Ovis aries: one gene and its partner. The protein of the gene in region 1 interacts with the protein of each later gene in a pairwise test. Links are inferred from orthologs where the notes say so. Each region holds a gene or a part of one and is shown on either strand. Other genes may lie near its edges. The genes, in order: HNRNPF and HNRNPM.

Evidence for each region.
Region 2: the proteins of HNRNPF (region 1) and HNRNPM interact in binary tests that used the Homo sapiens proteins (3 or more experiments, as listed by UniProt). The two-hybrid records come from large-scale screens. The link is inferred for Ovis aries from reciprocal best matches to the Homo sapiens genes HNRNPF and HNRNPM.

What each region holds. Positions count from the first base shown.
Region 1 is NC_056078.1:13,149,466-13,153,377, reverse strand, and holds the start of HNRNPF (heterogeneous nuclear ribonucleoprotein F), read left to right. Parts: upstream 1-1,229; 5' UTR 1,230-1,287; exon of another isoform or gene 1,288-1,348; intron 1,349-1,610; 5' UTR 1,611-1,678; intron 1,679-2,273; exon of another isoform or gene 2,274-2,429; intron 2,430-3,283; exon of another isoform or gene 3,284-3,912.
Region 2 is NC_056058.1:14,822,581-14,826,392, forward strand, and holds part of HNRNPM (heterogeneous nuclear ribonucleoprotein M), read left to right. Parts: intron 1-98; coding exon 99-252; intron 253-1,403; coding exon 1,404-1,453; intron 1,454-2,944; coding exon 2,945-3,005; intron 3,006-3,812. UniProt on the Homo sapiens protein: Pre-mRNA binding protein in vivo, binds avidly to poly(G) and poly(U) RNA homopolymers in vitro. Involved in splicing.

The DNA of each region.
Region 1 (3,912 bases):
TTACTGCATCATGGATGAACGCTGGAGAACTGTCAAACTTGATGAGGGGATCAAAAAGCCCCCATGGCTCAGAGGCCTGCTTAGTGCTTTGTAGGAACATGTCTTATTGGACCTGATTTCAGTCTCTAAATTCTCAAGCTTTTGTGTGTGTGTGTAATTTGAATATTTGCCTCAGATTAGCTACTTGCATTTTTTCTCCGGAGTCAGACTTTTCTATAGCCTAACCTGTGATGGTGTCATTGGATTTCTTACAAATAACTTATTTGAGTTTTGAAGAACCTGTTTTCTGTAATTGTGCCTCATCAGTTTTCTCTTTATTTTCAAGTCCTCTTGCTTTTACTTTTCTTTTCCCCTTAGAATCAACTTCTGGTGACAAACTGTGCTCCTTCCTTTTCTATAGTAACTACTCATAATGGCAACCCACTACAGTATTCTTGCCTGGAGAATTCCAGGGATAGAAGATCCTGGCGGGCTATGGTCCACAGGATCGCAGAGTTGGACACGACTAAGCAACTAACACTTCACTTTCACTCATAATCGGACCCTATTCCAAGCACCCCCTTATTAACTGGTGGTTTTTAAAATAATCTTCTACTTAGCCAGTGATGAGTGCCTTTATATATTCCTCTTTATGGAAGCTCCAAAAATAAAATAGTAATTATTAACCCCAGAACACATTAAAGAATCTGCTCCACTGCCTGAGGCAGGGTAGCCATTTCAGTTACCGCCTTGCCAGTCAGCTCAGGGGCTCTGACTGAAAACTAATTTTCCTCGGGGTCCTGAAGGCCACCTTTAGCAACCCTGGGGCTTCTAAGCCTAAGAAAGAATCAGTTGAGCAACCCCAGGTCAACTTGCTAATCCCTCTCTAAACCCTGCCCTCGGAGCCGCCTTTATCGGTTTCCGGTGTCCTCGGTTCCCTCTTCAATTCTCAGCAGGAAATAACTCTTTTTTTCTTCTTTTGCCCTGGCCAGGCGTCCTTTGGGCTCAATATTTGGGGGACTCTCCCAGTCAGTATCTATTGCGGCTCAAAAAGTCCCCACTGACCATGCTGTAGAGCTCGCCCCCCGCCCGTACCTCCCGTCTCAGCAGCGCCCCCGCTCCGTACGCCCCTGCCCCGCCCTACTACTAGCCGGCCAATCCCCGGCTCCGCTCCGGGAGCGTCACAATAGCGCCCCCGCGGCTCCGCCCCCGGACGCCCGCCTTGGAGACCCCGCCCCTCCGCGGTCTTTGCGTCTTTCCGGCTCCGTCTTGGAAGTGGGACTGCGCCGCGTCTTGTTGGAGAAGCAGGTGGGATTCTGCGGGGAAACCGGCCAGCTGTTACGCCGGCAGCCGGGAGCGGGGCGGGGGCGTGAGTTCCTGGTGCTCCTGTTCCTGGGTGCTTGGGTGTGGGGCTGAGGAGGGGTAGGGCACTCTGAGAGCTTTAGGGCTTCCGGAAGCGCCGAGTGCGCACAACGGGCGGGGGTTGTGGACTCGGGCCTGCCGCGTGCCTGAACCCGCCCCTCGGGGCCCCCTCGCGGGGCGCGCTGCCAGGGGTTTCCATGGTGATGGTAAACAAGCCTCAACTGCCTCAGTCACAACTGCCAAGTCCCTAGCGTTCCACCCTCCTCTAGGTGCTTAGAGGGACGACCAAGGTGCCGGATGTGAAGAAAAGCGGGGGCGTGGAGACTCGGACCCCGAGGTGAGGGGTGGGACAGGCGGCGTCCGAGGCTCGCCTACCAGGGACCGGCTGGGGACTGAGGCACTTGGCATTGAGGGTCGAGGGACTGAGATTTGGGGGTCAGCGAAGGCGGGATCTGGGGTGAAGGCCCTCACACCCGGGACCGATTGGGGTCTGGGCCTACGGGGGTAGTTGGGGACCGCGGGGCTGAGGTTTGGAGTCGGAGGAAATGGAACTGAGGTCAGGGGCCGTGTATTCGGGGACCGACAGGGTACTGAAAGGGGACCCGGCCCACTGAGGGTGGGGACCGCGGGACTGATTTGGGCTTGGGGGAGGTGGATTTGAGGTCACGGGCCTTATATTCCCGGCACTAGACGGCGGGGCTGAGGTTTGGGCTTTGGGAGGCAGGGAAGGGGAAGGAGAGTCTCGTGCGGACTCCAGAGGGAGCAGAGCCCTAGCGCCCCTGGCAGGAGTAGGGTGGGAAGACCAGGCAACCGCTCTAGGAGGGTCATTTTAAAATGAAAGCGGTACTTGCACGTGGCTGAACGCGTCCGCGAGTTGAACTAGACTGGTTGGGACCTGACTCCTCCCTCCTCCCACGTTCCCGCTCGCCGAGCCTCGACTTTCGAGCGTTGGGGCCTTTTCTTCCTCTCCGTGCAGCTTCTGTGCCCTGAGCCCCGTCTGCATTCGTCTCCTGCTCTTGGAGGTGTCCTGCCTGTATTTTGGTTGAAACTCTGGTTCTCGTTGTCTTGGCCTGGTGACCACACTTCTGGTGAGCTATCTTAATTTGGCCGTTTCTTTTTTCTTGTCGGTACTACTTTTATCTTTGAATGTACTTTGTGCCCGTTCTTGCCTGCGCCCGAGAAACTTCTGGACGCTGCTCGCGCTGCACCTCCCCCTCCCTGTTCCCGTGTGGCTCACGGAAGGCGGCGCCGGGCGGCCCGGGGGAGGCTCCGCGAGTTGCGGGGACCCGACCGGCTTTGGACCCTGGTCTTTTACCTGAACGGTTGGAGGGGCCGTGGGCCTCTCCCCTTTAATATGTACTCTAAAAGGGCTCTCAGAGGTTCCCAACAAATAACTTGAGGCCCTGGAGAGCCGCCGCACCCCCAGCCCCCACCACGCCGGCACCGGCGAGTCCCGCGTCCTTTGGGATGCCCTCGGCAGTTTTCTTCCCCTGGAGGTCCTAAGACGAACGACCATGCTTCACAACTGTGTTTGAGGTTGTGGGGAGAGAGCCTGTCTGCCACTGCGGACGGGTGCTCGGCGGGAGAGCGGCCCGCGAGCGGCCATACGCTGACGGGGGCCGTGCGGCGCGGCCGCTTCCGGGAACCGCCGGCTGCGGGGGGAGGGGCCCAGGCCGCCGGCGTTGGGGGCGGGCCTCGCGTGGTCCGACCCTCGTGGAACTCGGAGGGTTGAAGGCGGCAAATCTTTTAAAAACAGCATCGAAACTATCGATTTTACTCTAATTGTCAGTATTTCAGTCACGTTTTTAAAAGTTGACTTTCTGAATTTCTAGTAAAAATGAAAATAGTTTCGGGTTCTCCGGTCAGATAAAAACCTATTAGGGCCTATCAGTGATGTTTTCAGTGCTAATTTTTAGGCAGTTTTTCTCTTTTCATTTTAAAGTAATTTCTGCACTTAATGAATATTGAGAGAGATCGCTTTATTACGGATGTTAAGCAGGTTCATCCTTTGCCTTGGGGGATCTCATCTTCCTGTGTGCATTCTCTGTAAGTTGATTCGGTTTTTTATTTCCGTTTTACGGTGTCTGTTTTTTAACGTTTATTTTAGTAACGTTCTTTTTGTATTATTTGCTTTTTGTTGCTTTTCTCTTTAACTGGCAAGTGACTGGTTTTCACTTGAGTACTGTTGTTACAGAGCTCCCTTTAAACATAAAATAACTGTAAAATGTGAGTTGATTTGAGGAGAGTTAGTCCTTGTTGTGGCCGAAACTGAGGGAGGGTGTGGAGACAAGGGGTGCGTGCCATTTGGAGTCGGTGCCTGAAGAGACTACAGAAGTGGGAGGGGGCCACCTTCCACAAAGCTGACTTTACCACCAACCTGCCCTCTCCAATCTGAGCTCTGGTTCTCAGATTCTTTGTAGAAACACATTAAGTGATCCTTAACTGGATCCACACACAGAGCTAGGTGTTTTTCCACATTTTCTAATCGCATGCTCATGACCAGTTTGCAGGGAATTATTACTGTGTTGTCATCGTACAGATGTGTCTTAAGGGATATAGGTGGGACCGGGA
Region 2 (3,812 bases), on another chromosome or scaffold:
TTTGTAACATTTTCTAATGCTTGTTTTCTACCCAAAGCATGTCACAAGTGTAGTAAAAATGTTTACAGTGAGATTTTCCTCTCTCTTCTCTTGATTAGCTGGATTATAAAGTTGGCTGGAAGAAACTGAAGGAAGTTTTTAGTATGGCTGGTGTGGTGGTCCGAGCAGACATTCTTGAGGATAAAGATGGAAAAAGTCGTGGAATAGGCACTGTTACTTTTGAACAGTCCATTGAAGCCGTGCAAGCTATATGTATCCTTCTTTTGGAATTCGACCTAGTGAATTTAGTTTGGCTTAAGTGTTGTATTAGTAATGCAGGTTTGTGTGGGGAAGTGGTAATGTTGTGTATTAGCATTTCCTGTGTTACTGGAGGATCCTCAGGTGGTGCTAGTGGATCACCTGCCAGTGCAGGAGATGCAAGAGATATGGGTATGATTCTTGGGTCAGGAAGACCCCCTGGAGGAGGCAATAGCAACCCACTCCAGTATTCTTGCCTGGAAAATCCCATGGACAGGGGAGCCTGATGGGCTACAGTCCTTGGCGTCGCAAAGAGTTAGACACAAGTGAGTGTGTATGCACACGTGACTAGAGAGAATACATTACTGTGGATATTACGACAGGAGTCCAATACTGTGTAGATAGAAGCGATGGTTCGAAAATGGGCACATGTCAGTGAGTAGTCTTCTCCAGGGTTTTCTTTTTAGAAGGTCTGATTTGAAGGGAGAGGTAAACCCTTACAGGGCCTGTCTTCTCCAGTGGATTGACATTCTGGAAGAAGCACCTCTCTGACTCTAGGCTGCTCACTCTAGAGTGACCACAGAGAGAATACCACACATGAACACTGATCTTAAACTCTGGTAAGACTGTCACTGAGTATATTACCCAGAAAATATGGTACTTCAAAACATGCTAGAACACCGGGCGTATTGGACACACTAGGAAAACTGATGTCAGCGTTGTTCTTTTCTTTTTGCGGGGCGGTGGCGGGGGAAGGGGGAGTTCATGTAGTACATGGAATCTTAGTTTGCCAAGCAGGGATCGAATCTGCTTCCTTTGCATTGGAAGCATGAAGTTGAACCATTGGACCATGAAGGGAGTCCCTAATGTGAGTGCTTTTTAAGAGGAGAATGGTTTAGTGAGAAGTATAAGGTTTTATGACTGAAGATCCACACCTAAGGAGTAAGCAGAGGTTTCGTTTTATCCCCCTTGAGCCTTGTTTATTGTTGCTTTTATGCTTACTGTAGGAGCAAATACTTGAAAGTATAAGCAGGAATCAAAATTACTCATAAATTCACTACCTAGAAGGACTGGTGGCCGCAGTTGGAGTATTTTTCTTTTGGGTATTTCTTTGCTGCTATGCATGTTTTTAGAATTGCAAGAAATAGCCTTAATTGTAATATCAGCTATGTTCAATGGCCAGCTGCTGTTTGACAGACCAATGCACGTGAAAATGGTAAGTTAATAGGGTCTTTTATTTATTTATTGGCTGTGCTGGATCTTTGTTGCTGCACACTGACTTTCTCTAGTTGCTGGGAGTGAGGGCTACTCTCTGGCTGCGGTGCACAGGCCTTCTCATTGCAGTGGCTTCTCTTATTGTGTAGCACAGGCTCTAGGGCACATGGACTTCAGTAGTTGTGGTTCATGGGCTGAGTTGCTCCGTGGCATATGTTCTTCCTGGACCAGGGATTGAATCCGTGTCCCCTGCATTGGCAGATGGATTCTTAACTGTTGGACTACCAGGGAATTCCAAGGATCTCTTTCTCTTTAATATACTCGAATAAGGTTAGCAAAAACATGGGACTATTTAAGAGTGTACATGCACATAGCCATTGTGCTCTATTTATGGATCAGTCTGAGTCAAAGTCTGCAGTATGTTGAGCAAATTTATGACAAATAACAAATAACTTTCTGCTCATACAACTCTTCAGATATTTTTTCCTTTGCATGATCAGTAGTCACTTGAGTATCCTGCTTGAGCAAGTGGTTGGTTTCAGAGAATGGTTATATACATAGGTTTCCAATTTTCAGAGTATTGGAAGTATGTTTGCTTAGCATCCTATCTGTTGTAAACATAATGAAGTCTGATTCAGAAAGCCTTTAAAGTTCTTTTGGAGCATTTTAGTATAAACAGCTGTGGCTGTGCCAAAGATGCCAAAGATAACAGTATTAATGATTAATACAGGCATGACTGGAATGTGCTGAGGGTCATCTAGTTAGGACTGAAGATCAGGAAGAAAATAGAAGAAACTATTAAGGATTTGTTTTGTTCCTTTTGAGCGTTCAGTTTAGCTTTTTGAATAGATAATTGCTTCATATGATTCACCTGATAGCTCAGTTGGTAAAGAATCCACCTGCAATGCAGGAGACCCTGGTTCAATTCCTGGGTTGGGAAGATCTACTGGAGAGGGGATAGACTACCCACTCCAGTGTTCTTGGGCTTCCCTTGTGGCTCAGCTGGTAAAGAATCCGCTTGCAATGTGGGAGACCTGGGTTGCATCCCTGGCTTGGGAAGATCCCCTGGAGAAGGGAAAGGCTACCCACTCCAATATTCTGGCCTAGAGAATTCCATGGACAGTCCATGGGGTCACCAAGAGTTGGTCACAACTGGGCGACTTTCACTTTCACATGATTCAAAAGTCAGAACACATGAAAAGTTTGAGTGTGAGAGTCTTTCTCTTACTTTGTGTCCAGGTCCCATTCTTCCCCCTCAGTGATGTGAATGTTTATTTTTTATCTTTCCCCCTTTACATGAAAGGTCGCAACTCTCCCATATTCTTTTTTTTTTTCCCCCATATTCTTTTATGTATATTTGGCATGTTCTTCTGTGCCATGGGTGTATCCTCATGTCTCTGATCTGTCCTCTGTTGATAGGAGTTGCTTCCAGCTTTTGCTGTTGCTGGCAGTGCTGCAGGGAATACTGAGATTTATTCACTTTCTCTTTCAGGATGAGAGGGCCTTACCAAAGGGAGATTTTTTCCCTCCTGAGCGTCCACAGCAACTTCCCCGTAAGTGTCTCAATTATTTATGGCTACAATTTTGAATTTAATGTTTTATAACCAGAAAATTACAATTACCTTTGAAGTTGGGATGTCAGTCTTCAGTTATCTAGACTGTTCTTGAGCAAAAGATTCAAAAAGATTATTTTCCTTATAAATTTTTTTGGGGTGAAAAATGAGCAGAGAGACAACGTAGGAAGGGTTGTTAGGATTACATTGCGGTGAGGCAGGCTGCCCAGGACACAGAAGGTGTAGCTGGGAAAAAACAAACTGCAAAAAAATGAAAGCCAGCTTGCACTTGGGTTCAGAAGAGATTGGTTATTACCATATGGCCCAGCAGTCCCACTCTTAGGTATACACTACAAGAGAGCTGAAACCTGATACCCACACAGAAACCTGTACACAGATGTTCATGGCTGCATGGTTTCAGCTGATGAATGGGTGAATAAAACATGGTAAATCTAGACAGTGGACTGTTAGCCGTAAAAAAGAAGTACTGGTAACGTGCTACAGTATGGATGAACTTTGATTCTGTCTATTGGAAATGTCTAGAACAGGCGAGTTCATAAGACAGGTGGATTGTGATTGCCAGGGCCTGGAGAAAGGGTGAAGTTTATGGTGTGTGAAGTATAACAGTCAGAATTTTTATATAGGGTCATTTGTGACATCCAGGTGAAAGTCCATCCTGGGGCAGGGAAGGCATAGGTAGGAAGAGCGGGTAATAGTGAAGTCTTCCCGGGCAGGCCCACAGAAGGGCAGGGAGCCTGAGCACGGGAGCAGTGGAGGGGAGGGACTGTGGTAGCATGAGGGGCCGTG